7 linked regions of the Oryzias latipes genome follow. The protein of the gene in region 3 binds, or shares a complex with, the protein of the main gene of each other region. Links are inferred from orthologs where the notes say so. Each region holds a gene or a part of one and is shown on either strand. Other genes may lie near its edges. The genes, in order: sf3b4, rbmx2, sf3b5, ddx42, rbm48, snrpd2 and cwc27.

Region 1 (3,625 bases), on a different chromosome or scaffold from region 3:
CTCGTGTCCATTAATTGAGCGTGCGTAATTTTGTTTGGTTACCATTCCTCGTTACGCGTTTTGCAAACACACAATGGTCTGCGGACACTCGTGGAATTGTGTGCACAGGCTGAACGCACACACCAGTGTGCAAATAGCGCACCTGACTCCAGTTGCCATGACAACTTTGATTTGCCTTTAACTGACTTGGCTGCAGAAACGCGACACGTCTTAAAGTGTTTTTGGAGAGAAAACTGATTTTGATCACTAAACTAAATCATGTTTCAGGCTTTTTTGCAAAAGAAAAACCACCTTTTTATGATTTTAATCATGAAATTGAGTCCATATTAAACAATTTTGCTTCCCTTTTACCATTTTCTCTTAAGCTTTTAAATCTTAGTTTGTCTATTATCAACCAAAAAAGAAAATTTAAAAACATACATAAAATATCAAACATTTTATAAATTGTGCTGCAAACAGCTGCAACTTGTTACAATAAAACATCATAATAAACAAATAAATAGGAAAAAACCGTATTAAAAGTTTTATTGGGCAAAGGTTTGACTGTACAATTGAGCAAAAACAAACTGAAGGTTCAGTTACATCCATGTTTAAAACTAAAGCGAGGAAATGTTAACACTTTTTCTAAAGAAACAAACGAAAGCCAGTTTTTGCTAAGCAGTTCAGGTTATGGTGGCATTGGTGCCCTCATCGGAGGGGCAACTGGAGGTCTGGGGGGCATTGGCGGCCTCTGCATTCCAAAAGGAGGTGGACGAGGAGGACCGGGTGGAGCAGCACCGTAGCCGGGGGGAGGCATGGGGGGAGGAGGGCCTCTCATACCAGGAGGCACCGGGGGACCTGAGAGACACAGAGAGGGTCACATCATGGAATCAAATGTGAGAAAGCACCAGTAGTCTTCTGCATTTTCCTCAGGATTCAAGTGGAGTTCTCAGCTGAAACCACCTGCTACATAATGTACAGGTGAAGTCCTGTCTATGTGGTTTTCTTGGGAGTTTATGTTTGAATGAATAGCAGTGGACGTTTTACTACATTGGCAGGAGACTCTTGGACTACAAATATGGCTACCTGGGGACTTCCTGCCGCCCAGGCGAAAAACTGATTATTACGAGGAAAGGGGGGTGAAGGAGAGAGACACGTGCTGTTGAAGATTCCGGAGACGTCGGAGAGGAGTCCAACCGCGTCGATGGAAGCTACGGGGATTTTATTTCTGCAATGGGGTGAGACCCCCACATGCATGGAATGACTGAAAACCCCATCAACTGTGAATGAGCCACGTGGGTTCATCCTACGGATGGAACTTCGTCGCCCTGCGAGTCACTTGGATTCCTTTTATGTGGAGGGTGGAGGATGCCAAGGAGAGGCGGTGAATATGAACTATCGGGTGAAGCTCTTGTGGGGTTAAGTAACCAAGACTGTTTAGAGAACTTGAGGCATATTGTTTGTTTTGTAGTACTTTGATAGACTGACGGGTGTTACAACAGGTCAAGGACAAAATCCTGGGGACCAGTCATGTGATTATTCCATCCACTGCAGTGAGGACAGTAAAGGACAGAAGATTGGAGAAACCCAAAAGCCTCTATATAGACGACTCCAGGCACAAGACTGGGATTAAGTCTCACGCTCAGCAAAAGGACATAAACCTTTTTTTCTTTTAGAAAAACTATTCAACTATTTTGTTACAGTTGTGGGGTTTAGGTGCTCTGCTTTCTGCATTATTTTTTTTATATAAATACACATTTGTTAAAATATCCAGTGGCTAAATGTTCTTATTCCTAATGATCAATATATCCCATATTTCTTAAAAGAAAAGATTCTCAGTTTAAAACCATTTTCTGGTGTAAAAAAGCATCAACTGTCATCACTGAATTTACTTTTCCATGAATAATTCCTAAAAATGTTTAAAAATAAATAAACTGCAGTTTTTATCTGAGGATGTAGAATACGGAGCGTACGTGAAAACACAGAGACAACAAATCAGCAGCTAACTCACTTATTTTTATTCGATTTCCGATCCCCCCATACTTTAGGAAAGCAATAAGTACAAACGGCAGACAACGTAAAGCAAATTTTGCTTTTATTTAATCAAACGCAAGACAAATGTAACCCCCATTTCTGGGATGAATCCTAAATAAATGAACACACTCTTGGAATCAAAGTCCCAGTTGTGTTTTCAGTCACACTTTGTAGTCTAGACTAAAGTAGACAAACATTCACCTTGACAGTAGCACCTTTTTCTAGAGGATTAACAAAACAGCTCATATCTGGGGTCTAAGGTTTTAATCAAATTTTTAAACCCCGTCTTCTCCACGGTATATATGGGTACCGTCATGTCTTTGGCGATATGCAAAGCCATCACTTCAGTGATGAAGCAGCAGGGGTCGCGGTCAACCGCCAACCCCCCCGCCCGGCGCCGCCGAACACAAAATCCTTCGGCGGCAGCGGCAGAAATGAATACCGGTACAAGTAATAATTACAACCCAGTATTCTTTATTAACAAATAACATTAACAACTAACTACTACCTATCTAACTAATGAACTAACTATATAGGTTTTGTAGAATGACTGTGTGTGTGTCTGTGGCAGTAAACCCAGACCAGTTCCAAACAACAGATCATTTTATTCCTTTCTTGGGAACAAACTTCCCACTCTCACCGGTAGCCATGTTGTCGCTTGTTGTTCCGTGTGAGCTATGATGTTGTTGTTTGTCGTTTGCCTTACTGCCCGTAACAAAAATTTCGAATCGATTCAATCGATTTTTCGCCCAGGCCGAAGTCAAACTAAAGCCGTAGGTCATTAGGTCACTGTACTGATTTTAGTCACAGTTGAAAAAGAAATGAGACCAAAGTTTGGAACAGATTATGTTTGAAGGGTTCCTTTAGATCATGTGTCAAACTCAAGGCCCGGGGGCCAAATGTGGCCCTCCATGTCATTTTATGTGGCCCGCGAGATCATAAAAGTTTTTAATTTCTTAAAATAAAATAAAAAAAATGGTGTAGACAGGGCAACTATACATTAGGACTTAAACACTGTCCATATAACCTAACCTGACAGAATCAAATTTAAAAGGATTTATGCTGGAAAAACAAGCAAACATGTTTTCTATGCAACTGTAATTGTCACTTTAAAAATTTATAGTAAATAATGAGTTATTTAACATTAAGGAGTAGTTACATTTATTTTTCATTACATTTAGTTACATGTATAAGTTATATCTGGCCCTTTGAGGACAGCCGCTATGCAGATGTGGCCCTCGGTGTAAATGAGTATGACACCCATGCTTTAGATGGATCCGAATTAGCATCTCATTTATTAAGTAAAAAAGTTAAGTATTTTTAGAGCAGCTAAAATAATTGAATCCACTGCAGTAAAGTAAGAAGGACTTTTTAAACTTTATACATCTCTGACCACATGTCAGCCACTCCTCTTTCAAAATACTCATCCACATCCCTGCTGTAAAACCATTTACTGCTTTAAAACTAGCAAATCTGTCCAGGGATGTGCGGAGCTGAATCGCGTGAATCGGATTTTATTTCCGGATCAGAGAACTTATATGTCTTGTATTCTAATTATGATCAAAAACGACTATGCTAAAAGTCTGCAGGGGTGTCAACATGAAGTAGGGAT
Region 2 (4,277 bases), on a different chromosome or scaffold from region 3:
GGCTTCTCATGGAAGCTTTGTTTACAGGAGGATGTCAGCCAGCAGGGGGAGCTCTTCTGCTGAGGAGAGAATGTATCATTCTCCTCTCTTTACTCCTCCATCTATCTTCTGGAGCTCTCCTTGTCCGCCTCTCTCCTCTTCTCTCCTCTCCTTCTGTCCTCCCTCTCTCGTTCAGTCTCTCTCTTACTCTCCACATCTCTGTCTCTCCTCTTCTCCTCCCTCCTCCTCTCCGTCTCATTGTGTCCGTTCTGTGACCCCCCCGTGGCGTACTTGTCGTACGCCGTGTCTCGTTTTTCTTCTTTGACTCGGATGGGAGGTGAGGAGGAGGAAGCTCGGCTCTTCTTCTTCTCCTTCTTCTTTTTCTTCTTCTCTTTTTTGTCTGCAGCAGAAGAGTACAGGTGAAACTGACCCTCCCCCTCATAAATGACAGAACAGGAAGTGACCTCACCTTTTTTGGGTTTTTTCACAGGTATGACGAGCTGCTCGTCATCCTCAGAGGAGGACGGGGGGGCGGCAGGGCCCGTGGGGGCGCAGCCATCCTCCCTCAAGCGTTTGGTGACATCATCGATGTCCTCGCCGTCTTTGGGGGGGCGGTAGTTTTTTACGTGGTCTACGCGAATGGTGCGTCCTTTGATCTGGAGGGGAGAAAGAGCTTCATCATTAAGGATGCTCACAGTGGCGCCGCCCCGGGTGGGGGGTGGGGGCCTCACCTTGATGCCATTGAAGTTGTCCACAGCCAGGATGGTGCTGCGCTGGTCCTCGTAGCAGATGAAGCAGAAGCCTTTGGACTTTCCCGTCTTCTTGTCGCGCACCAGGTTGACGTTGACGATCTCACCGTACCTGAACGGACACATCAGTAAGCGGTGTGTGCCCCCACCCCACCCCAAAGCGAGGCTGTGGGTACGTACTGAGAGAAGACGCAGAGCAGGTCCCCCTCTGTGAGCTCGTAGGGGAAGCCTCCTGCAGGATCAGAACAGACGTCAACCACCTGCTTTCACGCTTCATTTACTGCAGGTTCCTGTGAGAAGCTCCGCCCCCTCACCCACAAAGATCCAGGCGCTGTCCCGGTACTCGCTGTGCCACGACACCTTCTCGTTGACCCCGAGGTCGGCCTCGCGCTCGTTCAGCTCGTTTATCAGCTTCACCTTCGTCAGAGGACTGAAACAAATCAACCGGCAGGAAACTTTCAGTGTTTTAGAAGACAGCAGTCAAGATTCTGTTCATTTAAACAAAGTGAAATAAACCTGAAGGTCAGCTTTCTAATATTCATGTTTCATCAATTTATTTTTTTATGCACCATCTCAACATAATGAACATTATGAAGATTTCAACCATATCTTCTTTGTCTCTTAGTTGCTACATTAATCATCCAGCTCTCTCCTCTATCGTCCCCACCAACAACCCTCATGCCCTCCTCTTCATCCATGAACTTCCTCTGTGGTCTTCCGCTAGGCCTCTTTCCTGGTTTCTGTAACCTCAGCATCATCACTGCTGCTCCTCCAAACCATCTCCATCTGCATTCATGTCCCAAATATCAACCATGATCTGCTCCTCTGATGGACTCATTCCTGATGCATCCTGGTCTCTCCCAAAGAGAACCTCAACATCTTCATCTCTGCTACCTTCAGCTCTGCCTATTGAATCGATATTGGAAACCACCGTTTGGATTGAGACCTGGTGAGGTCATTTTACTATAACATAAAGGCTGTGCCCCAAGTTCCCACCCTAACATAAAAAAAGAAAATTGCAAAAACTGTTCGACGCAATGCATTGTGGTTTATATTCACTCGATGCACACTGCTTTTTCGCAGAGACTTCTGGGAAATTTCTAGGGCACTCGACTTTGAAATTGTAGGTTCGGACAGCACTACAACATGGTGAATGTTGTGCACTATATAGGGCAATATATAGTGCACTACATAGTGCCCCCTAGGTAGTGAGTATTGAAGGAATTCAGACACAATCAAAATTAACAGAGTGCATTACAGCAGACAAAAAACATGTAATTTCATCAAAAACTGATCAACCATCATTCCAGTCCAAAACTGAATTTAGAAAGTCATGTGACCACACAGTGTGCTAGAATGTTCCCTTTGGATTCTTTGGATGTGGAAAAACAACAGTGGGCTGAACTTCAGGAAACTAAAATGTGGATGGATTTGATTTTAATTCTTTGTTTGTACATATTTAATTTAAACTTGATTATCTTGGAAGAAATCTAAGGAATCTGGAAAACTTCACATTTCAGTAGCAGGTATTTCTCGCTGAGTCACACTGGATGATGTTTTGGATAAAGATGTCCTGGATCCATTAGGTCACTGAATCGGATAAAACGAACAATTATCGAATGATTGAATCACATCAACAACCACTGATTGGTATGCAATCGTTACACCTCTAAAATGCAAATACAATCAAACGCAAGTACGAATTCAGTAGGTGGCTATTCAGTACCTGGTCTATTAAGTTTAAAAAAATCAAATTTGATTTTTTAGAAGTTTTTAGAAGTTTTTGAAGTTCTACAGTGGAGAATTTGAATGGAAATGGGGAAAAGGCGACACACACGAAACATAAAGCCTGCTGCTATCGGCTGGAATCCGCTCAACAGGAAACCAACGACCAGAAAAGGGATTCTCTACCAAATGAAAAATAAAAACTAATGTAATGGCTGTAGAGGGAAACGTTTACTTACTTCATGGTGAGCTCGAACAGCAGCGATGTTATGGTGCCAAAGACCAAGCGTGGAGAAGTGGTGCACTTCCTGTGGAGGTTCTGCGTGTGCTGCCGCCTGGTGGTTGGATGACCGAACTACAGATGAAATGAACGAGAAAACTGCGCGAACGCGAAGCGTCTAACACTGCCCGAATGCTGCTTTTAATAAACAAGAAATGTATTTATTTTATTTTTGTAAGAAATTGTGAAATGCTGAATGTTCTGTCTGTAAAAAGCAAGCGTCCAATCTTTCCGCCTGCACGACAGGTGGCGCTAACAAGCTAACAGTTCATTTTTAACAGGATGCAACACTTAAACCAGACAGTGGACGTTTTAAAGCGTGTTGTGTTTTTCAAGCTTTTAATGTTTAAATAACACCCTTTCTTAGAGTCGACATCATTGCAGGAGATTTTACGTGGAACTGGAAAATGATTTGTAATTCCACGTTAGCATGGCTTTAAAACACTTAAAGTTCAGTTTAAACGTCTGAACTGTGTCATCTTTTCAGGTAAATTCAGTTTTCCTTCGACTTGTCTTTACCCTATTCCGCTTTACTCAGTGTCACCTTTAACACGTTTGAGATTAATGTGTGACGCACACCTACAGTAGCACACACCAGACAATCTGATTGTTTATTGTTAGTTTATTTTTTTCCTCATAATAACTAGTTTCATGCAGTGAATATGAGATGCTGCTTGTTTGTCATTTCCCCCATAAACAGGGGTTTTCTCCTTTATTTCGGCTTGACTGCAGTTCTGCAGACAGACTTGGACGTGTTCCTGCAGATGTTGTTTCTGCAGATGTTGCAGTGGCACTGAAACTCCCCCTAGCTGTCCCACCGGGGTGAACTGTTGCCCCGACAGTCCTCTATCCTCTGCAGGATGATCCGGCAGCTCTTCATCTTGTCCTCGAAGGGCGACCCCCTCCTCTTCAGAGACTGTATCCTTCTCAGCTCTCACCTGCTTCTGTTTAAATCATCCTGCTTTGAAGTTCAGTTCTGCTATACAGTGAAAGATCTCCCCTTTGGGACAGACTTACTCTAGCAGGGGTACTTGTACTTGCCCATCTGGGGTACATTTTTTGCATCAGTCAGACACAGGTGTTTTAAAGTTGTTATTTTCAATGGTGATGGGCTTCTCTGAAGGCCTAAAAATTATCTGAATCATGTGTTAATTAGAGTTCGTCCATGCATTCTCATTAAATCATTCCAAATGGTCTGTCCATTCCTCTTTTAGTGTGTTTATGATGGTGATGCTGCTTCCAGACGTATTTTCACATTGGAACATTTAACCAATCACATTCCAGCTCTCCTTTGTTGCCAGGCAGGGTCAGAGCTACAGAGGCCTTCACTATCTGTTCTGCAGGCCCTCTAATGCAAAATCAATGTCGGAGATTAATTTCCCTCATCCAATCAGATTTTGAGTTGGTGTCAGCAGGGCCTTCTAGCAGGCTTAGACAGCGTCACAGTATTCAGACCCTCTGATTGGACAGAAGTTTCAGGAAGTCACATGCTTCCTTGTCCAGTTTGACACAGAGACATGGAGAATGATCTGTTCCCTCTCAGT
Region 3 (4,225 bases):
AAAAAACAAAATCATATATTTTAAGCAAAAACAAAACCACTGCTATAGCCATTGCTGCTCCTTCAACAAAGTCCTAAGGATGACTTTGGTCTTTTTCTTTTTACAATAAAACGTCTTGTTTGGATGATTTATTCATTTAAACGTTCTCACTTTTTTAAATGCGTTTTAGAAAACTGACATATTTCCAGAATAAAATGATCAGTGAAAGAGCTTAACCAAAGGAAAAATAATGTTTTCATTAGAAATACAACAGTTCAACATTGTGCACATATTGGACATTTTTAACATTTTCTGAAATGGATAAGTTCAGGTGTCGTCATTCTCATTCGTTTCCTGAAAGCACTACAGTTAATGTATTCACCGATCAAACAAGTGAGAATAGCTTCAGTGAACACATGAATACCAGATTTTACTGGCTGCTCTGACCTCAAGGTTAGAAACAAACAACCGTCCAAAACTGAAAAAAAGAAAAGGTAAGAGGGAAAAAAAGCTGCAGCAGTTGGTTGGGCTGTGTTTTATGCATCATCGGGTTTGTCTGCAGGTGGTCCACATGGCTGAAGCATCTTCTCCATCAAGTTGAAGCGAACACGAGCTTTGCTTTCATTTTCAGCGATGGAAAAGTAGTTGAGCAGGTCAAAATGACCCATGTAGGAGCAATAAGAGTCACGGTGCTGGTTCACCAGCCATTCCCATTTGGTAGTGTCAGCATGCCCTGTTCCGATGTACTTGGACTGGAGATGCTCCAGCTGACTGTGGATATTGTATCGGTCAGTCATTCTCTCTGAGATCAGTCAACAGGCTCTGGGAGAAAGAAAGTAAATCAGAGATTTGAATTGTGCTTCAGCAAACAGACGATCCAGTCAGATAAACTCATAAACAAGAAGGTTTTAGTTATTCTTGTGACATTTGTGAGGAAAATTACAATTCAAAGATAAAAACAAAATAATTTGAAGGAAAAAAAAACTCAAAATAATGCCTTTTTTATATTATATGGTGGTACATGTAAATAAATTAAACCTTTAAGAAGCAAATGTTATAAACATGGCTAATGGTAAATACACTTCACAAGCCTATAAAATTCTATTATGTGTCTCTCCAATGAGTGGGGAGCATCTGAAAGTAAAGATTACCACATCCAACTGCTAAACTTCAAATATATCAATGAATGTCAGTTATACCATGGTCCAGGTGAATGCTCCATTCTGATTGGCTGCTGAGTGGGGATTAAGTAAGGGATAGTCACCAACAAAGTATACGTTGCCAGAAATTAACGCACGCCGTGGAAACCCAAACTGCCCGATGCTTCCGTTGATTATTAGTGCGTTGATTATCCTGCTTTTACCATGGTCACTTACAAAACAAATACATTTTCAATCAGTTTTTAGTCATTTATTCTTGTTATTTTTTCGGTTTACGTTGCTTTTTTCAAAAAAAGCGGACTTTTTGCAACATGGTGTGGCGTGTTGTCACGTTACCGTAACATGACAACACGCTGAGCTGGCACCGACCTCCACTGCAGCAGTAAAAGCCATAAATAAGCTGATCGTCATGATGGTGTATGTTAAATTAAAGCATCAGTTCAGAATGAAGGTTCACCGCTCACCGCTTGTTTTTATCCAGATGATGAAACAAATGTCTGTTTTAAAAAAGCCGGCGCAGTGACACAGAACATCTAAGCAATGTAACTGGAACTTCTTTTTTTAGACGTGCGGTTATCACTTTTTTAATGCACACTCAGCAGCCAATCAGAATTGAGTATTCACCCGTACCATGGTATAATTTCTGATAATGGACACCTCAAAGGTCATTATCCGTCTTTTAACGGACGACAAGGAAGCTTAAACTGTCAAGACACCTTGTCAGCTATTATCCTTTACTTACCCAGCATCCCCACAAAAATCTTATAGGACACATTGAACACATACCCATTCACCAGTCTATTATTAAACTAGTGTAGAAGTAGAATAATTATTAAATTACTATACTTTGCAGTGGTGTGTATAAACATCAAAATAAAATATTCAGTAAAAACAAAAATATTAATAAACCGTAGAGTTGAATGTCTAATACAGACTTTTCCCCTTATGTTTCTTACGTCCCTTTTCTCCAGATCATATGCAGTTTACTTTGACATAATGAAATACAAAAGCTTTGTTTTGTTGTTTGCACACCAACAAATTCTGTATTTCTTAGATTATCATCCCTTTCAATAACATGAAACAAGTTTTGAATTAGTGTGACAAATTAAAAACAAAGGCATGACTGATTTGTTAGAATTACAGGAAAACGACGGATTTCTCACAGCTATGCAGATTTGAACCTTTTAGCCTAGCTAAACTGCTAGAAATTCTGGTCTTAAGGAAAGGACTCCTCGGAGAGTCAATGGATAATTTTCCCATGAGGAAAATCAATATAATGCACAACTACCAGAAATTAAATAAAATCGTGTCATACTTTATTGCAGATATTTACCATTTATGGTATATGACCGTTTTTGAAAGCACGACTATCCCTTTAAAACAAAGTTACATTTTACTTTGTTAGCTTGATCCTATATCATTAGCCTGGGTCTCGGCTAATAACCTATTTAAACTCCTGAACTTTAGTTTCTCTCGTAGCCAGCGGTGCAACTTCCATGTGGCCATCGATGATATACATATAAAAGGTCAACTTACTTGAAAAGCGCGGGTTTGAAAAACAGGTGAAGCTTGAAAAAGATGATAAAAACTGCGTCCGTCCGAACACACCGCGACGAGCAGAAGCTGGCTTCCGGTTTGCCTTCGACTTAACAAACCGGTGAGAAACCGAGACGGTGTTTTTTTTGTTCCGACTTTTTATTCCTAACGCGATGGTAAAGGTGGACACCAAAGTGAACGACATATAAAACCTCATTTTATGGAAAGGTGAAAGGCAAGTCAAATATTCTGTATCTATTCCTTTTTTTTTTTTTTTTTACAATGATAATTATATATATTCTTGGTCATAAACAGGTTAGGAACAATATTTTTAGATCTGAAAACAGTTTCAGGTTTTCGGTTTTAAAACAGCAGGCATTTAATGAATGTCAACTGTAGTGGACACCAGGACCATTTTAATCTATTTAATGGCTACACATTATTTTTAGGTGAAAGAAGTGAAGCTGAGAGGATTCTGTACCAGATAGTCGAAGGTTGATTCATATTTGGAGCTTTCGGATGATGAAAAGGATGAGGAGGGTGAGATTCAGTCTGTGATAGGTGATGATGAAGATGAAGAAGATGATAATTCAGGAGAATCTGATGAGTCAGAGAAGGTGCAGCAAAGTCTTCGTGCTCTGTGGACCAGGACTAACTTGCATGTTTTATTTAGTTTCAGGCTAATGTCTTACATTTTATGACCATGTTAGAACATTGTAGTGTTTGTACTATGTTTAAATGGAAAAAAAAAAAACTGCTTTTTTTATTAACTTGATTTTTTTTGTGTTTTTTAAACGTACATCATCACAGGTTTACACCTGTGCTAGCAGGGCGCCCCGCTCAAGATGACCCCAAAGTTTGTGAATACTGGAGTCCAATCTCGTACTTTTCACAGTACATCGATAACAATATTTTCGAGGATCATCTAATGTTTTTTGGGTGAATATCACTCTAAAGATTTAATCTGCTCCTTTTTTCTGATTTTCCAAATTGATCTCTATTTTCACAGAAATATCATCCTGTTGTCTTCTATCTACAATAAAAAATATTTTTAAAAAAATTAAAATTGTTAGGTGTTCTAGGCCTAAATAGATAGGAAATCACATAAAAACAGGAATTGTAAGACACTTTTTTTCCTCGGTTCTCAGGAGGTTGAATGTTTTTTTAAATTTTTACATTAAAGTTTTACATTAGACAGGAATGGTCTGATGGTTTTCAGATGTCAGTATGTGACCAGTGGCCATGTATTCACGTGTGCAAAAAACCCTGCTTCGTCAGTATTACTAAATGTGCTACATAAATCAAGTAAAGTTACAATATTTTTCAGTGATTCCAATATTTTATAATTTCTTTCATGCTATTTATGACACAGAATAAGAAACAGAACAACCTCGTTCCTTTTTTTTTTTTAAAAGAAGCTCCATTTTAAAGGAAGAACATCACTAAAGTTTATAAATAATGCATGTTCTGCTGCTTTACTGGGCAGCACTAAAAATTGGGTTTGTTGGCAAAATATGCAAACTGTCATGAGTTTGCAGTAAACAAATCAA
Region 4 (2,909 bases), on a different chromosome or scaffold from region 3:
AGCAGCAGTTTGCCTTCAGCCAGTAGCTTTGACGGTTACAGCAAACCAACCACCGGAGCTATGGGGGATCGCATGTCTGCATTGAAACAAGCCTTCCAGGTACGCTCCGTGTTTAGTTCTTTACATATCGGTGTCGTGCCACAATTATTTCTCTTCGTCTGCTTTCTTTTTGCTTTTAAGTTAGATAAAGGTCTGGTATTTGGATGGAATTATTCTAGACAGTCCCAATCACTCCCAACTGTATTTTTCTTCTTTGGTCAAACTGTTTTCCAGTGCTCTTTTAAAGATGATTGTGCAGCCAAAATCCAAAAGCCTGTTTTGTTTTTAGGACAGATTTTCTGCAGAGCAGCTGGAGCTCATTAGAAATTCGCTTTTACATTCAACTAACAAATGACCACATTAGGCTATATGCACATGCTACTTCCTTATTCAGTGTAAGTAATTTTAGGTTTAGATTCCTTTAGCGGAAACGTGTGGCATACAGGAAAATGGTTGGGGCTTTAGAGTTTTCTAGATATCTTTTGGAGCTCCCTAAAGTCACACAAAAAAAAAAAAGGAAATCTGGCTCTAGAAGGACATCGGCTGGTCATAACTTGTAAGCCTGTTTTCAGGACCTGTTATTGCAGTGTCAATGTCAGCCGCAGTAATGTCAACAAGCGGGTCTAGACTAGAACAAGCGACAGAAACGGAGCATGCGACATGTAGACATGTAACAAAAAATACTGTCTTTAGAAACTCAACACCTCTGCAAAAACACAAACATACATATATACTGCAATTCTTTCATCTCCAAGTCTGCGACATCCGTACATCCGAAAGCCATCATCTGCTCTTCCCGGTAATTTATTCCCAGACAGCAGGACGTACGGCATTAAGCAAGTTCCCTTCAAAAAGAACAGACACGGCTCCTCTTCTTAAGAATTGAAAGCTTTATAAGGGATTTTTGCCAAATATTATATCCCACTTCTTTTCTAACTCGCCATATCTGTTGGGAAAAGAGTGGAAACTTAATGAGTTTACATTTAGCGGATGCTGCTCATTCAGGGACACAGCAATGGCAGCTTGATGTCTTGATCTTTTTGTTGTCATCGTGTAAACACACGACAAGCGAACATAGTGCAAAGCAACAAACAAAAGTCAATGAACACAGACCGGTTCTGTTTTCTGAGAATCTGCGTATGAACTTAGCCGCAAGCGGGAGCCACTCGGCAGTCTCATTTTTAACTAAAAATACGTCGCACAGTTTTAAACTAAGAAATATTGGTTACATGGGTTTCAAGTAACATCTCTTGAATGACGTTTGACGTAAAGAATTTATTGGTTCTCTTTTGCCTCCCAGCTGATCACTTATGGTGTGTTTTTTTATTTATTTATTCCAGGCTCAGTATAAAAGCCACTTTGTAGCTGCATGCAGCGGTCCTCCAAAGCTCAGCGCCAAGTCCAGCAGCACCTCCGGCTGGACCAGCGCCGGCAGCCTGAGCTCCGTCCCAACAGAAGCTGCCAACGGGTCAGAACGCTCTCAGATGGCCAACTTTGCCATGGCTGGTTTCACCAGTGCCGGCTCCCTGAGCTCGGTGCCCCCCATCCCCAGCAGTCCACAGCACAGCAACGCCACCCCGGCACCCCCCTCCCCAAAGGAGAGCTCGCGAGACAGACACGGGGAGGAGCGGGGGCGCTATGAAGACAGTCATCGCCACAGCGACAGAAGTGATAGGCATAGTGGAGACGATCGCTACGGAGATCGGGATCGCCGCGGAGACAGGGATCGGGACCGACACGGGGACCGGGATCGCCACGGCGGCGGCAGCCGCCACAGCGACAGCCGTAATGGCGACGGAAGCAAGAGAGATCGAGAAGACGGCAGGAGTGATAGAGATGGAGGAAACAGGAGGAGCGGAGAAGGAAGGGACAGAGATGACAGCTTTGCGGTCCCTGACCCACCAAAACGGAGAAAAAGCAGATGGGACAGCTAAGGAAAGCATTAGCAAACGTTATAATATCATTTTTGTGCTACCAAATATTTGCTCCATAAGAAATTTATAGCTGTAGCAGGACAGATGCTGGCACAAGCACAAATCTAAGAGAGCTGTTCACTTGAAATGGAGTGAACTTGTCCTAAAAATCCGTCAGGTTGGTTAAGATCTAACTGTTTGCTCTGAAACCACGTTTGCTCCAATGACTGCTTCAAGACAGCCATTGTACATATGCCATCCAGGCTGCTATCACTGTAAGTCAAGCAATAGAGTTGTAATGAAAAATGTTGTCTGTGAATTAAAAAAAAACAAAATCCAGTTTGACATGTGTTATCACTTGTTCATGAACCCCTAATTTCCTGTGTTGCTTTCAAAGCTGGTTTACTAAGAGGTTTTCATTGAAGTCATATTATTTACAAATAAATCCACATATCAAGACAACACAGTGTTGCTCGTCTTACATTTTAGTCCCATGGCATGTGGTCTTGTCCTTGTTTGCTTGTTAATCCAACTTTTCTTGGAGCTTTTAGGTGGTTGGAAGGTAAAAAATAGTTTTATTTCAAACATATAAAAACAACATTTATACACTTGCTGATAACAATTATTCAAATGAGTTTCTATTTGAGAGGAGAAAAATAAACATGTTTGAAAAGGAGAAAACTAGCTGATTTAAAGCCAATTTGTTTTAATTCTGGTGTCAGGTTGTGTTATGATGTAAATGAAGAACAGAATGGGCCAATTTTCTCTGACTTGGCATGCTGGAAGTCGGATAAAACTAGATAAAGCTCTAAATTTAGTTTTGTTATTGGCTGCAAATTTAAATTTGAGCTGTTTGTGTATGCCTAGCTCAAGTATTCCCTCCAGTGTTATGCATGTAATTTGTTTGCATTTTCTTGTGAAGGTAGTAAAAAAATAAATGTGTTTAAAAACATATTT
Region 5 (3,895 bases), on a different chromosome or scaffold from region 3:
GCGGCTTGAAGAGGAAGGCAGAGAAGACGACTATCAAGATGAACAGGATGAGATCAACGAACTGATGGAAATTGTCCTCAAAAAAATGGTGAGATGTTGCCCTCCCATCTGCCTTTGTCACATTTGGATCGATGTTGATTGTAAGAATTTTGTCTTGATGTGTGCAGATTTATTTTGGTAACATGCCAACATTGCTTCCTGTGATTCCACAGGACCACGACAAAGACGGCAGGCTGTCTTTTCAAGATTTTGAGAAGTCTGTAAAAAAGGAGGAGCTACTCCTTGAAGCCTTTGGAAGCTGCCTGCCCAATTTCAGGGTAATCACAACCAAAAGTTGCTGAGCTTAAAAATATTGTAAGGATCTATTTAACTTAAATCTTTCTTTTTAGACAAAGAAGAAGTTTGAGCAGCAAGTACTGGAAAAGCAGCAAGATGAATAATAAAATATGAAGTGCAAGCGGTGTTCAACTTTGAGACTTTCATGAAAGAAAAAGCCAAAATGTTTTTCTTAAAGTACAATTTTATTTTAAGTTGAGCCTTTCAACGTTAGTTTTGATAAATATGGACAGTCGTCACTAAAACAGAATGGATCATATCCGACGGCGTGGCTTAACCTTCTTCTCCGCTGGTTTGAGGTCTGGGACCGATGTCACCTAGGAATGAATGAAAAGAATGAGACTGAAATGCACCAATATGGCATCATGTCAAGCTCTAATTCTCATTAAAAAAAAAATAAAAGACTACCTGCTTCATTGTGCCCCTGATCAGATTTACTGTTGTGTTTAGCGACTGATCATTCATGTCCAGCTTATGTGGTTCTGGTAGTTTTGGTCCAATCAAAGACGGTTCTCCAGAATCAGGCACTGGCTGTTTTGTGGCCTCCTCCATTTTGCGGCGTTTGTTCTTTTCCAAATGTGCAGTTCTTGGAACAAGCTTGACGGAAGAATCTGGGTTGGAGGCCAATTTTTTTTCGGAATTAGGGTCTTTACTGAAAGAGCTAAAGTTCTGGACTTTCTGCTGTTTTACGTCAGGAGGCACTGCGTCATGTAAAGTCCCCATTTGATCTTCTGTTGGTTCGTTCCCACGATAATCCTGATGAAAGTATTCCTGCGGGGGTAAAGGCAGTAGAGGAAATCCGGAACAATGGCTGAAGCTTGAAGTCTCGCCTGTTTTGTCACTATTGAAGATTGGATTATTTGTAGCAAAAACTCTGCTTGATGTGGGAACGCTTTCTGAAGACGTAGATTCCATGTGTACCGCATCCGCTACTCTTTCTTTTGCTGTATAAACATGAAACAGATAAATGACACTCATCAAATTCTTTATCTATACTTTAAACTTACAAAACAACAAAAAACATTTGATTTCAGATAAAAATACACAAAAAAAATTTTTTAATCACAGTTTTTTTTCATTGAACTTTTAAAAAACAATTACCTAAGAAAAAAAAGATTCAGTGCTTTTCAACACCGTATATCGTCAAAATGCGATAATACCTCTACTCCGAGCCACTTTCAGAACATAACTTCTCCTGTCCTGCAGCTTTAACTTGGTGTCTTCCACAGACTCGTACTCCGGGACGTAACACACATGCAGCACGCCGCCATAGAAACTCTTCTCATCCATGTTACGTTTCGCCGCTCTGGAACATCAAATATCAACCTGAATGACATATTTTTCAGCATTTCTGGTTTAGGGCAGTACAGTTAAGGTGCCCGCCATACCTAGCACTTGTCAGTTTTTGAAACTTGACCAGGTAGACTTCTGTGAACTCCTCAGCAGGATACTCGTCCAGCGGTCTGTATTCCTCCACTGTTCCATAAAGAGCACACAACTGGATCAGCTCCTCCATCACTCCAATAGCGGGGACTCCCTGGATCATCACATAACGGGACTCTAAATTTATTGTGTAGACCTGGCAGATACAAAGGCATGGTTATTAGTATATGTGAGGCTGTTGACGTGACCAATAAAAATCAATTAACTTAAAGACATAATCATCAGATCTGATGTACTTTCCTGCAACTCAGAAATCCAGTCTACTGTATTAGAAATTTGATTTTTATGGTTTATTAATTACAATTTTTTCGAAATGACTCAAACTTTTTACCATGTCTTTTATTTAATTTTATTTATTTATTTTTGCCAAAACGACAGTTTTATTTGTTTTTTTAAGACCTGCCGTTGGTCTTTTATTTATCACTTGCTGTGTGACTACAATTTATACTTTTTTCTTCCAGTTAAAAAAAAAGATTTTAAAATTTTCTCTTACATTCTTAAATGTAAAAATAAAACCAACTTACACATAATTATTAGCTCGTCGCTTGCGTCAACACAGACCGTCTTTGCTACAAACATTAGAAACGTTTTTCTTACCTTGACTGCTTTAGCTCTCCTTCCATCTCTATATTTGGGTCTAGAAAAACATGCGTTGTGTTGTTCGTGATGTTTGTAGACTTCTGGGACCTTCCAACAACCAGGTTTACTGTTGACATTTGCCGCCATGTTTGCTGAAACGCGTTTCCGCTTTGGTGGCATTTCAAAACAAGAGTTCATTCCGTTGTGCAGAGCACTCAACGTGTAGTGTTGACGACGTGGCAGTCTTATTTTGAAATGATCGATTCCATCGACAATCGACTGTTTTGTCTGGATCAGTTCTCTCATTCATCGAAATGTTTGTTGCACTTTGGCCGTTAGCGCACCAGCATGTTAAGCACTTTAAATGCTAAAATAGCGATGTAAACGTCATGTTTAGCAACCAGGGAATTCAACCAGTATGTGTTGTTTTTAACAACACTAAAAACTGCTTTATTCAACTCTCTTCAAAGCTGATATCGCACCTTTCTCTGAATGAGGTAAAGTATTAGCTAATTACTTAACATCGCTTCAGTTTTGTTGCATAAAGTTTACTGAATAATGACTGCTTTTGTGTTTTACACATTGCTGGTTTGTTTCTCTGACATTACAAGGGGACCTTTGGTTGCATTTAAGGTTTTAGTTTTTCTTAATTAAAACTTATAACAAAAGCAGAGCATTTTTTTATTATCACGTGTACTTAATTAGTATTAGGAAGTAATGCAAGGCAACAAAAAATGAATTGTTGGTAAAAATAGAAATTGGGCATCAAATACTGTCCTCATTCAGGGGTCTTTAGTCTAAAGGAAACTGCATTGTTTTGATTTTTAACACATTAACTCCTAGAAATAGTTTAATTTAGAAAAGGTTGATTATTATAATAACTAATGTGATCATCTCAATATTTCTATATTTTGCTACCACACCTGTGGAATATTTTTGCAATTTTTTAATTTAATTCTTCTGCTGAGCATAAAATCTGAAATGTATGTAATGATACAAAATGTACAAGAATAAAAACTAATAAAGGTATCACAAGTATCTAACATTCATAAAGTTGGAATCATAATTTCGACATCCGCTTTAAGAGACCATTCTGTGTCTTATTTCATCGTCTCTCTTTGGCCGGTCCGTTTTAGAATCAGGCTTTGGAGCTGTCTTGGGACGGCGGGTCGACAGTGTTCCTTAGCTGGTGTCCCATCAGAGCCTCCTTAGGAGCAGACAGCCACAGAGTGGAGTTGTCTCGGCAGCTTGGAGAAAAGCTCGGTTTGACTGATGGAGAACAGGTAAAGACCTTGGTTTCTTCCTTTAGGTCATCAACTGGGACGAACACTGCCTGTGCAACAGTCTCTTAACATTGGTCTGACATTGAGTGGTTTTCACAGTGTTTTCTCAGACCATGCCATCAAGTCTCTTCGCTGAATCAGGTGTTTGTGGAGCCACTGTCATCTGATGACTGGGAGATTTTGGTGAGTGAAATATTGACTTTTGTGTAATTTGTCTAATTGCAGTTATACATTATCATGAAATCAATCTCCTG
Region 6 (3,940 bases), on a different chromosome or scaffold from region 3:
GACATCTCTTCAAAACAAAACTTATATTAGACTAACATTAGATAAATACACCTGCTGTAGATCTCATAGAACTCAGTTGTGAGAGTTTCTAAATGACACTATAATGCATCTTATAACTTTTTATAATTGTATTATAAATGGTAAATGGCGTATAATTGTACTGCGCTTTCTACCTTCCTTGAAGGCCAAAATCAGTCACCTATTCATACACAGATTCACATACTGGTTTCCTGGTTGCTGAACACTGGCACCAACCTTCCACCAGAAGCAAGGTGGTGTTCAGTTCAGCGTCTTTCCCAAGGACACTTCAACGGTAGGGCGGGTATCGAACCTGCAATCTAACGATCAGAGGGTGACCACCCTACCACGGCTGCCCATGTATGCAAGACATGACAGCAATAAACCTGGAGCCTAAAACTTTTACTATTAAAGTTTTTTTGTATTGTTTGATTTGCAAAATGCAGTTACAAAAGGCCATGTTTATAGTTTCTTGATATTGAATTATATTTTTCAAATAAATGAGTTTAAAAATACTGCTAAAAATACAAATGAACAATGCTGCATCATTTGTTTAGCACCTACAATAATAGATAAGGCAATCTGTGATTTGGAACGTGGCACATATGAAAAAAAGGAAAGGTTATTATTATTATTATTGTTTTTGTTGTTATTAATATTATTACTATTATTGTTGTTGTTGTTATTTCCAATATTTTAATTGTTGTTGTTGTTAATAATGTTGTTGTTGTTTACCAGGCAAAGGTCACAGACTAAGCAACGTCTCTTTTATTTTATATTATTTCTTGATACTGTCAACCTGGACTTTGATATCCTGCAAATGCAAAATAACTGGATAAAAGCAATGCTGAATTTAAATGTATCAAATTGTATTTAATTAATCTTTTTCGTGTATTTATTTAAACATGTTCTATAATGTCGTTTGTTAAATTGCTGCATGAATGCTGGGGCATTCATAACAGTTTTAACTTCGGCTTCAGTAACGAAATTACTAGAGATGGATGCAAGATTAGAATAGAATATTTTAGCTGATGACCGTTGTTTGATTTTTTTTCTATTGTTGCCAAAAAGAATAGAATATTTTTCGAATTTTTGGTTTGCGTCGTAACCCGGAAGTTATTCTATTTAAGCGCGTTAATATCACCGGAAGTGATTCTGTGCACGCGACTGTCGGCTAAAACGTTGTAGACACGACCGACGCACGAAAGAGGCTTTGGAACTTTACTAAACGGTTTTTATAAACCAGGAATCATGTTAGTATCTTCTATTGTGTCTCGATGTTGAGGGCAATGTTACTTTTTACGTTTAGCTGCTAATATGGAGATCGCACTATTAAGCTAGCAGCATTTTCCTTCGAGTTGGTGCTAGATCGCTTTGTGTGGCCTAGTGGGTGGTTTTTAGAAATGTGTTAAATTGGATTACATTGCAATTACTGCATTCTCAAATTAAATTGTTTAAAAAGTTACGTCCAAAGCTAAATTCTGTGATTGTACATCGCGCGAAAGCTTGATGGACGTACTAAGCCTCATTAGCTAATTGCTAATGAGACTGTTAGCTTGCTCTATCCATCATGAGTAAATGTCCTCGTTGTGCGATTGCAGCATTCATTCTTTAGAAAGTAGAAATGTTTAAGCTTCTGCAAGATGATATGATCAAAGTCGTCGGTTATAGACTCATTTTGTGTGAAAGCCAAAGTTTTGTTCTAAATATTTTGTGCGTAAAGAGCCTAAACTCTTTGCTGATCTCAAAGCACACACTGTTCAGAGATTGTTGAAAACTTCAAATGTATCTGGAAACAATAAATGTTCTGTGCTCATTTAAGGGTGGCGGGAGGCTTTAATGTTTTAAAACTTGATCCTTTTATAAAGTCTAGTATTTGTTGACCTTTATTTAGGTAAATTGTTTCTCTATCATCCAGAGCAGCCATTTTTTTTAAAGTAGGTTTTACTTCTGCCTATTTGTAGTGATCATTGTACAAATATAAAGAAATATCGAGACTAAAATGTACTGATTCAATTTATCAATGACCAAAGCATTTATTGTGTGTGTGAGATAATTCCTCAATAGTTTTGATTCCGTCTGATGTAATGTCTCCTGTACAATGGTTTTCTGGTTAATACTAGTTTTGCATGTTTAGTTTTATTTAGATATTTGGTTGTGGTCCATTTTCCTGCTTAAGCACCTTCTGCCTCTCAAATGTCTCTATTAACTGAGCACTTTCAGTCAACAGCTTCAGCTCTCATAAATGCTCTTTTGCAGGAACTGAGACTTTTTTTAGCTGGTTCCACTTTTCAGATGTCTTGCCTATATTGTACATTTTTGTGCTAACTTGACTTTATAAGAAAATGATCATTTTGTTGAGGCACACAGATGAAGCCAACTCTTGGATTCGCATTAACAGTAACTAATGCTTGTGTGTGCATTAAATACGAAAGTGTTGCGTTTGTGTCTTTATATTTATTTTTTAATTTAAAAGAATAATAATAAAAAGGCCCAAATCCAAATAATAGGCCGCCCAAGCAGTCGATGCTTAAACAGTACATCGTTGCTTATTTTGTTTGCTGTTATCACTAATTCAGAACTTGTTTAATCCACAGGAGTCTTCTAACGAAACCTAAGTCAGAGATGACGCCTGAAGAGCTCCAGAAAAGAGAAGAGGAGGAGTTCAACACTGGCCCTCTGTCGGTGCTCACCCAGTCAGTCAAGAACAACACCCAAGTCCTCATTAACTGTCGCAACAACAAGAAGCTGCTTGGAAGAGTCAAAGCATTCGACAGGTATTGGGGGGCTGCTGGTGTAGCGGAGAGAGGTTTAAGTGTGTATTTAGGACTTTTATATGAAGAGGAAACAAACACGAAGAGCTTGCATCTTGATTTAGAAAGTGTTGCTTCACTAAAGCATATTTTTGCAGTCTTTTTTTCTTCTTCTTTCCAGGATTTGAAATAACATGGCGCCTTACAGTGGTTTTATTCTAAAATGTTTCAATTATTCCCTCCTCTCTTTGACATATTCCTTTAATAGAATCAAGAATAAAATACATTCAGAAGAATTCAAATACAAGTAAAACACTAAATATAAGCTCACAAATGTAAGAGATTAAAAAGGCGTCCATAGCATCTCCTCCACATTGGGTACTGTGCCTGATGTGGGTGTGGGGTTTGAATGATTTCATTCTCTGAAGCATTGTTTTGTTTTTTTATCAAGTATGAGTTGAATAAAAAGCCACTTCTTAAATACTAAACCTGTTTTAAGGGTTAGATGTCAACAGCAAGATTTCTATATGTAGTCACTTGTGTAATAAAATCAAATTTTCTTACAAAGCTTAAGCAATGAAGAAGGGAGATTGCAAGATGTTTTATTTCAATAGTTCTTGCATTGTAATTTTCTGATCTTTTTGGTTTTTAAAAGAATAGATTACGTATGTGAGCAAATCCACCTGAGCACCCCAAGATTTCAAATGCCAGTGAGTTATTAGTATGAAGGTAAAAATGTGTCTAAATAGACGAGCTTGTAGATTTGGTGTGAGAACTTGTAATTTACAATGTGAGAACTTGCACACCAAAAATCTGCATCTGTGTGTAAAAATCTTCTGCTGTAAAGTCTGACAAACTAAATCAGAACTGACAAATTCCCATTTAGAGTTACAACCTCCAATCTGGGATTACAACTGCTCAAATGTGAATCTGCTGGCGCACATCACAAGTGCACAACAACTGCGCTCTGACTTCTGACACATTCCTTGTGAGAAACTTGTGTCAAAATTGATCTGTGTACGAAAACGGAACGGGGGGGACAATAGGGTCATGATTAGTCAGTACAGAAAGTTTGCTGACATTAGCTTTAGTATCTTTAGAACTATTGAGCACCTTTATTATGAATCATGTCTCTTAAAATGTGAAAAACTATATAAAATATATTAAAC
Region 7 (3,500 bases), on a different chromosome or scaffold from region 3:
CGCGGCCCGCGCTACGAGTAACGACCTGGCTAGCCGGCTTAGCTTCCACTGTGCGGAGCCGCGCTTCTAACTGCTCCAGCCTGGCCTCCAAGTCTAACACAAGACTACACTTAACACACCTACCCCTATCTTCACTAAAGGAGGCAGGATCATCACTAAACATATGGCACATGGGGCAGGAGAGAGGAGGAGAGGCGGAAGGAGTGGTGGTGGCCATACTAGGTTCTAAGCTAAGGCTAGCGGTGTTTAAGTAAAGAGAAGTGGTTTATTTAGCAAAATGAGAAAAGTGAACAAAAAGCGGTTTAACAGTGGTGAATTAGCTAATAAAAGGTACTAGATGTGAATATTAACCCAGATAACCCTTAGAGTAAGCAATAGTAGTAAGGCTAATGCCAAACAAGAGGACAGCAGTCACACAACTAGCACTGGGAATAGCTCACCCGGAAATGACGTCACAGGAAGTAGACACAAATGTATTGCTCGCCCATGGGACAGCTGGAACCGGGCCCCAGAGTGATAATAATAATAAAAAAAATGCCCACATTATTTTTTGCTTTATTTCTAATCAGATTCTGAAGGAAGTTTTACTTTGGAAAACTGCTGGATATTTTTTCTCCACCACATCCAACTCGTTCCTGACGCATGTTGGTCACCTGTCACAGTTCCATCCAGCACTTTTTTAAAGTGGCTGCGTCGACTGCTATGTCCAAACCCGAGAACAGATCCAGAGAGGAAACAGAAGAAGAGCCCTTTGATTTCAAAATAAAAGAAATCTGCAATTAACAGACAAAAAACAGTAGTTTTTCCACCAAATATGGATGTATTGTGACGGTTGTTCCCACAATCATAATGGTACCGGTAAATGGTGAATACTTTTCTAGGGATGCCAATATAGCATAGTCAGTTTGTTAGTTCATTTTAGTATTTTCCTATTGAACTCTTTGTATTCGTGATCCTTTTAAGTTCATGTTTTACTTCGAAGCCCATCGAGACGACTGTTGTTGTGATTTTGGGCTATACAAATAAAATTGAATTGAATTGAATTTTCTACCTTCCTGGAAGGCCCAAAGCCCTTTACAGTCACAGTCCCATTCACCCAGTCACACACCCATTCACACACTGATGGCGGCTCCGCTGCCGAACACTGGCGCCCACCTCCCACCAGAGGCAAGGTGGGGTTCAGAGTCTTGCCCAAGGACACTTTGACACATGGGGGGGCAGAACATGAAGACACCGGCTGTCTAATGTTACGAGGATGCTGCTGTTAAAGTTGTTCCAATGGAAGCTTCCTTATTACATTTAGAAAATAACCGTTTTAGTGTTTTGTTTTCCTTTATTTATCCGTCTTAGACGCTGAAGTTGGCGTCAGATTTTTCTGGTTCCACTTTAACCGTTAGGATTTAAGGCAGTAGCGGTTTTAAGCACGGGCCGTGAACGGCCTGAAACCTGCAAATTGGCAAATTTTTCTTGGATTTTCATTCAATATATACAACAGAGTTTTAGGGCCAGTGTACGAAAAAAACAAAAAATGTAATTTACGACAATGAAGTCGTAAATTCACGAGAAAGAAAGTCATAACTGTTAAATCACGAGATTTTAAGTAGTAAATTTACGAGAAAAACCTACTAAATTAACAAGTATTTTTCTCGTAAATCTATGACTTAAAATCTCGTAATTTTCCTTTTTTTTTTTTTTTTTAGTGGCCCTAAAACTCCCTCATAAATATAATATCTTTTGTGCATCTTTTGCTTTTTTATAGTGTTGATATTTGGACCTCAAGTCTTTAATAACAATATATTCTACAATTTATTTATGATTTAAATATTTGAAATATTCAAACATTAAACAACAATTTTCATGTTTCTTTTGTGTAGGTAAACTCAGCAGTGAACTCACACTTTATCAATGTATTGAATTGAACTATTTAAAACTTCAATTACGGTAGTAATATTAGAGAATATGCTATTAACGAACCGCAGGGATAAAATAAAGATTTATCTTAATTAGAAATGTTAAATAGGCTTTCTGGGCTCGTGAAAAGGGGCGTCCGGTTCACTGACCATCCTTTGTCGTCGTCCTCCGCCAGCTCCTCCACGTCCCCTTCCGGACCTTCGGTGATGGCTGACGACAGCTTAGACTTGAATTGATCCAGCAGAGCCAGAGTCTGTCCCAACACCGGAGAAACAACCATTTTAGCCGCCACACAAAAACCACAATCCGCGTGATTCGGCTCAGATTTGTAAAAATGCCAAACCAACTTTATTTATAGAGCATTTAAATTGTCTGTGCAGACTTGAAGTGCTGTACAATCGTGGAAACACTAAAAGACTATGAAAACAATACAAAAAAAACACTTATATGTACATTAAGTGGTTTAAAAGCTATCCTCTCAAATCGTTCATGTAGAAAAGACACATAATTAATAAAATTACTACATTTATAATGAAGTGGAACCAATAAAATAAGAAAAGACCCCTATAGGGGTCTTCAAAGCCACATTTAAAAAAGTGTTTCTTTTAAAAGTCCCACTCCAATCATCTTTAGATCTGTTGTAAAATCGTTCCCAGTGTTTTTTTTAAATTATGATGATGCTGTTTTTATCCAAAAGTCGTTCTCTAGAACATAGTTTCTGCAGAGTGACACGAGAAATTCACCCCTTTCCTTCCCTACCGCTGAGAGATCTTCGTTTACATGCTCTCCCTCTAGCTTCAGACCCCCCCCCCCCCCCCCCCCCCCAAACCTATTCAATAAAAACGGCGAGCAGTACCAGAGCTTCACAGACATACATGGATCTAGTCATCTACAATGGATGTATCAGAATGGAGCAGAGCAGATTTTTTACTTCACAAATACGATCTTTTTCAGTCAGCATTTTTTCTGTCTGCTCCTGATTCACAGCAATTTGAATAAAGAAATAAATAGAAATGCAATTTTCAGCTGAATTTTCTTCCTAAATGTCCTCCATCGTCAGAAAAATGCAAGAAAGAAGACGTTAAAAACACCATTTTCATCCGAGTGGGTCTTTAAAGGAGATTTGAAAACAGGTGGTGAGGAAGACTGTCTAACGTGAGATGGAAGATGGTTCCAAAAAGTGGCTGCAGCAGAAGTACGGTCCTCCTTATGTCTGGACTTTACTTTTGGGGTTTTTAGAAGCAGCTGACGTCAGTCAACACTCTGATGTGTTACCTGCTGTTCTCGGCCCGAGCCTTTCTTCTGCTTTTTCGTCTTCAGCCCCTCGTACTTTTTCCGTCCCTCCAGATATTCAGCCACTGCCTCATTGGTGGGCTTTTGCTCGGCTTCTGAAGACGGGACAGAAATGACAGATTACTGAAAAAACAAAAAACAAACAAAAAAAAAACACTTTCACTACTTACAATACAGTACATTTCCCAAACAAACAGTTTCCAAAGTACTGTACAAGGACTAAAATGAGATAAAAATGATTAATCAAAATAAAAACAAGGAAAATACTTTAGATTAGTCATATTATTAACAACCGA

The links.
Region 1: sf3b5 (region 3) and sf3b4 share a complex: the UniProt entries of both Homo sapiens proteins name them as parts of the SF3B subcomplex of the 17S U2 SnRNP complex. The link is inferred for Oryzias latipes from reciprocal best matches to the Homo sapiens genes SF3B5 and SF3B4.
Region 2: sf3b5 (region 3) and rbmx2 share a complex: the UniProt entries of both Homo sapiens proteins name them as parts of the minor spliceosome. The link is inferred for Oryzias latipes from reciprocal best matches to the Homo sapiens genes SF3B5 and RBMX2.
Region 4: the proteins of sf3b5 (region 3) and ddx42 are in contact, whole or in part, in a cryo-EM structure (PDB 7EVN), measured with the Homo sapiens proteins. The link is inferred for Oryzias latipes from reciprocal best matches to the Homo sapiens genes SF3B5 and DDX42. Residues at the interface, in NP_112577.1 of Homo sapiens: Arg4, Tyr5, Thr6, Ser9, Gln10, His13, Leu14; in NP_031398.2 of Homo sapiens: Asp156, Ala159, Tyr160, Phe161, Tyr163, Met164, Asn167.
Region 5: sf3b5 (region 3) and rbm48 share a complex: the UniProt entries of both Homo sapiens proteins name them as parts of the minor spliceosome. The link is inferred for Oryzias latipes from reciprocal best matches to the Homo sapiens genes SF3B5 and RBM48.
Region 6: sf3b5 (region 3) and snrpd2 share a complex: the UniProt entries of both Homo sapiens proteins name them as parts of the minor spliceosome. The link is inferred for Oryzias latipes from reciprocal best matches to the Homo sapiens genes SF3B5 and SNRPD2.
Region 7: sf3b5 (region 3) and cwc27 share a complex: the UniProt entries of both Homo sapiens proteins name them as parts of the minor spliceosome. The link is inferred for Oryzias latipes from reciprocal best matches to the Homo sapiens genes SF3B5 and CWC27.

Annotation. Positions count from the first base shown.
Region 1 is NC_019869.2:7,220,376-7,224,000, reverse strand, and holds the end of sf3b4 (splicing factor 3B subunit 4), read right to left. Parts: intron 838-3,625; coding exon 668-837; 3' UTR 501-667; downstream 1-500. UniProt on the Homo sapiens protein: Component of the 17S U2 SnRNP complex of the spliceosome, a large ribonucleoprotein complex that removes introns from transcribed pre-mRNAs.
Region 2 is NC_019872.2:23,467,974-23,472,250, reverse strand, and holds the start of rbmx2 (RNA-binding motif protein, X-linked 2), read right to left. Parts: upstream 2,801-4,277; 5' UTR 2,698-2,800; coding exon 2,693-2,697; intron 1,159-2,692; coding exon 1,043-1,158; intron 961-1,042; coding exon 909-960; intron 841-908; coding exon 711-840; intron 636-710; coding exon 449-635; intron 380-448; coding exon 102-379; 3' UTR 1-101. Other genes in the region: ap4m1 (AP-4 complex subunit mu-1), read left to right, coding at 3,594-3,651. UniProt on the Homo sapiens protein: Involved in pre-mRNA splicing as component of the activated spliceosome. As a component of the minor spliceosome, involved in the splicing of U12-type introns in pre-mRNAs.
Region 3 is NC_019873.2:17,221,611-17,225,835, forward strand, and holds the start of sf3b5 (splicing factor 3B subunit 5), read right to left. Parts: upstream 2,801-4,225; 5' UTR 2,676-2,800; intron 802-2,675; 5' UTR 777-801; coding exon 516-776; 3' UTR 1-515. UniProt on the Homo sapiens protein: Component of the 17S U2 SnRNP complex of the spliceosome, a large ribonucleoprotein complex that removes introns from transcribed pre-mRNAs.
Region 4 is NC_019866.2:4,153,514-4,156,422, reverse strand, and holds the end of ddx42 (ATP-dependent RNA helicase DDX42), read left to right. Parts: coding exon 1-99; intron 100-1,379; coding exon 1,380-1,973; 3' UTR 1,974-2,409; downstream 2,410-2,909. UniProt on the Homo sapiens protein: ATP-dependent RNA helicase that binds to partially double-stranded RNAs (dsRNAs) in order to unwind RNA secondary structures. Unwinding is promoted in the presence of single-strand binding proteins.
Region 5 is NC_019869.2:21,761,674-21,765,568, reverse strand, and holds rbm48 (RNA-binding protein 48), read right to left. Parts: upstream 2,554-3,895; 5' UTR 2,539-2,553; coding exon 2,377-2,538; intron 1,916-2,376; coding exon 1,725-1,915; intron 1,643-1,724; coding exon 1,497-1,642; intron 1,281-1,496; coding exon 745-1,280; intron 739-744; exon of another isoform or gene 654-738; coding exon 591-653; 3' UTR 501-590; downstream 1-500. Other genes in the region: efcab1 (EF-hand calcium-binding domain-containing protein 1), read left to right, coding at 1-88, 213-317, 390-440; pex1 (peroxisome biogenesis factor 1), read left to right, coding at 2,748-2,855, 3,495-3,641, 3,741-3,824. UniProt on the Homo sapiens protein: As a component of the minor spliceosome, involved in the splicing of U12-type introns in pre-mRNAs.
Region 6 is NC_019871.2:25,537,851-25,541,790, reverse strand, and holds the start of snrpd2 (small nuclear ribonucleoprotein Sm D2), read left to right. Parts: upstream 1-1,140; 5' UTR 1,141-1,269; coding exon 1,270-1,271; intron 1,272-2,615; coding exon 2,616-2,795; intron 2,796-3,940. UniProt on the Homo sapiens protein: Plays a role in pre-mRNA splicing as a core component of the spliceosomal U1, U2, U4 and U5 small nuclear ribonucleoproteins (snRNPs), the building blocks of the spliceosome.
Region 7 is NC_019870.2:3,013,862-3,017,361, forward strand, and holds part of cwc27 (peptidyl-prolyl cis-trans isomerase CWC27 homolog), read right to left. Parts: intron 3,300-3,500; coding exon 3,187-3,299; intron 2,165-3,186; coding exon 2,061-2,164; intron 750-2,060; coding exon of another isoform or gene 701-749; exon of another isoform or gene 523-700; intron 496-522; exon of another isoform or gene 260-495; intron 1-259. UniProt on the Homo sapiens protein: As part of the spliceosome, plays a role in pre-mRNA splicing. Probable inactive PPIase with no peptidyl-prolyl cis-trans isomerase activity. As a component of the minor spliceosome, involved in the splicing of U12-type introns in pre-mRNAs.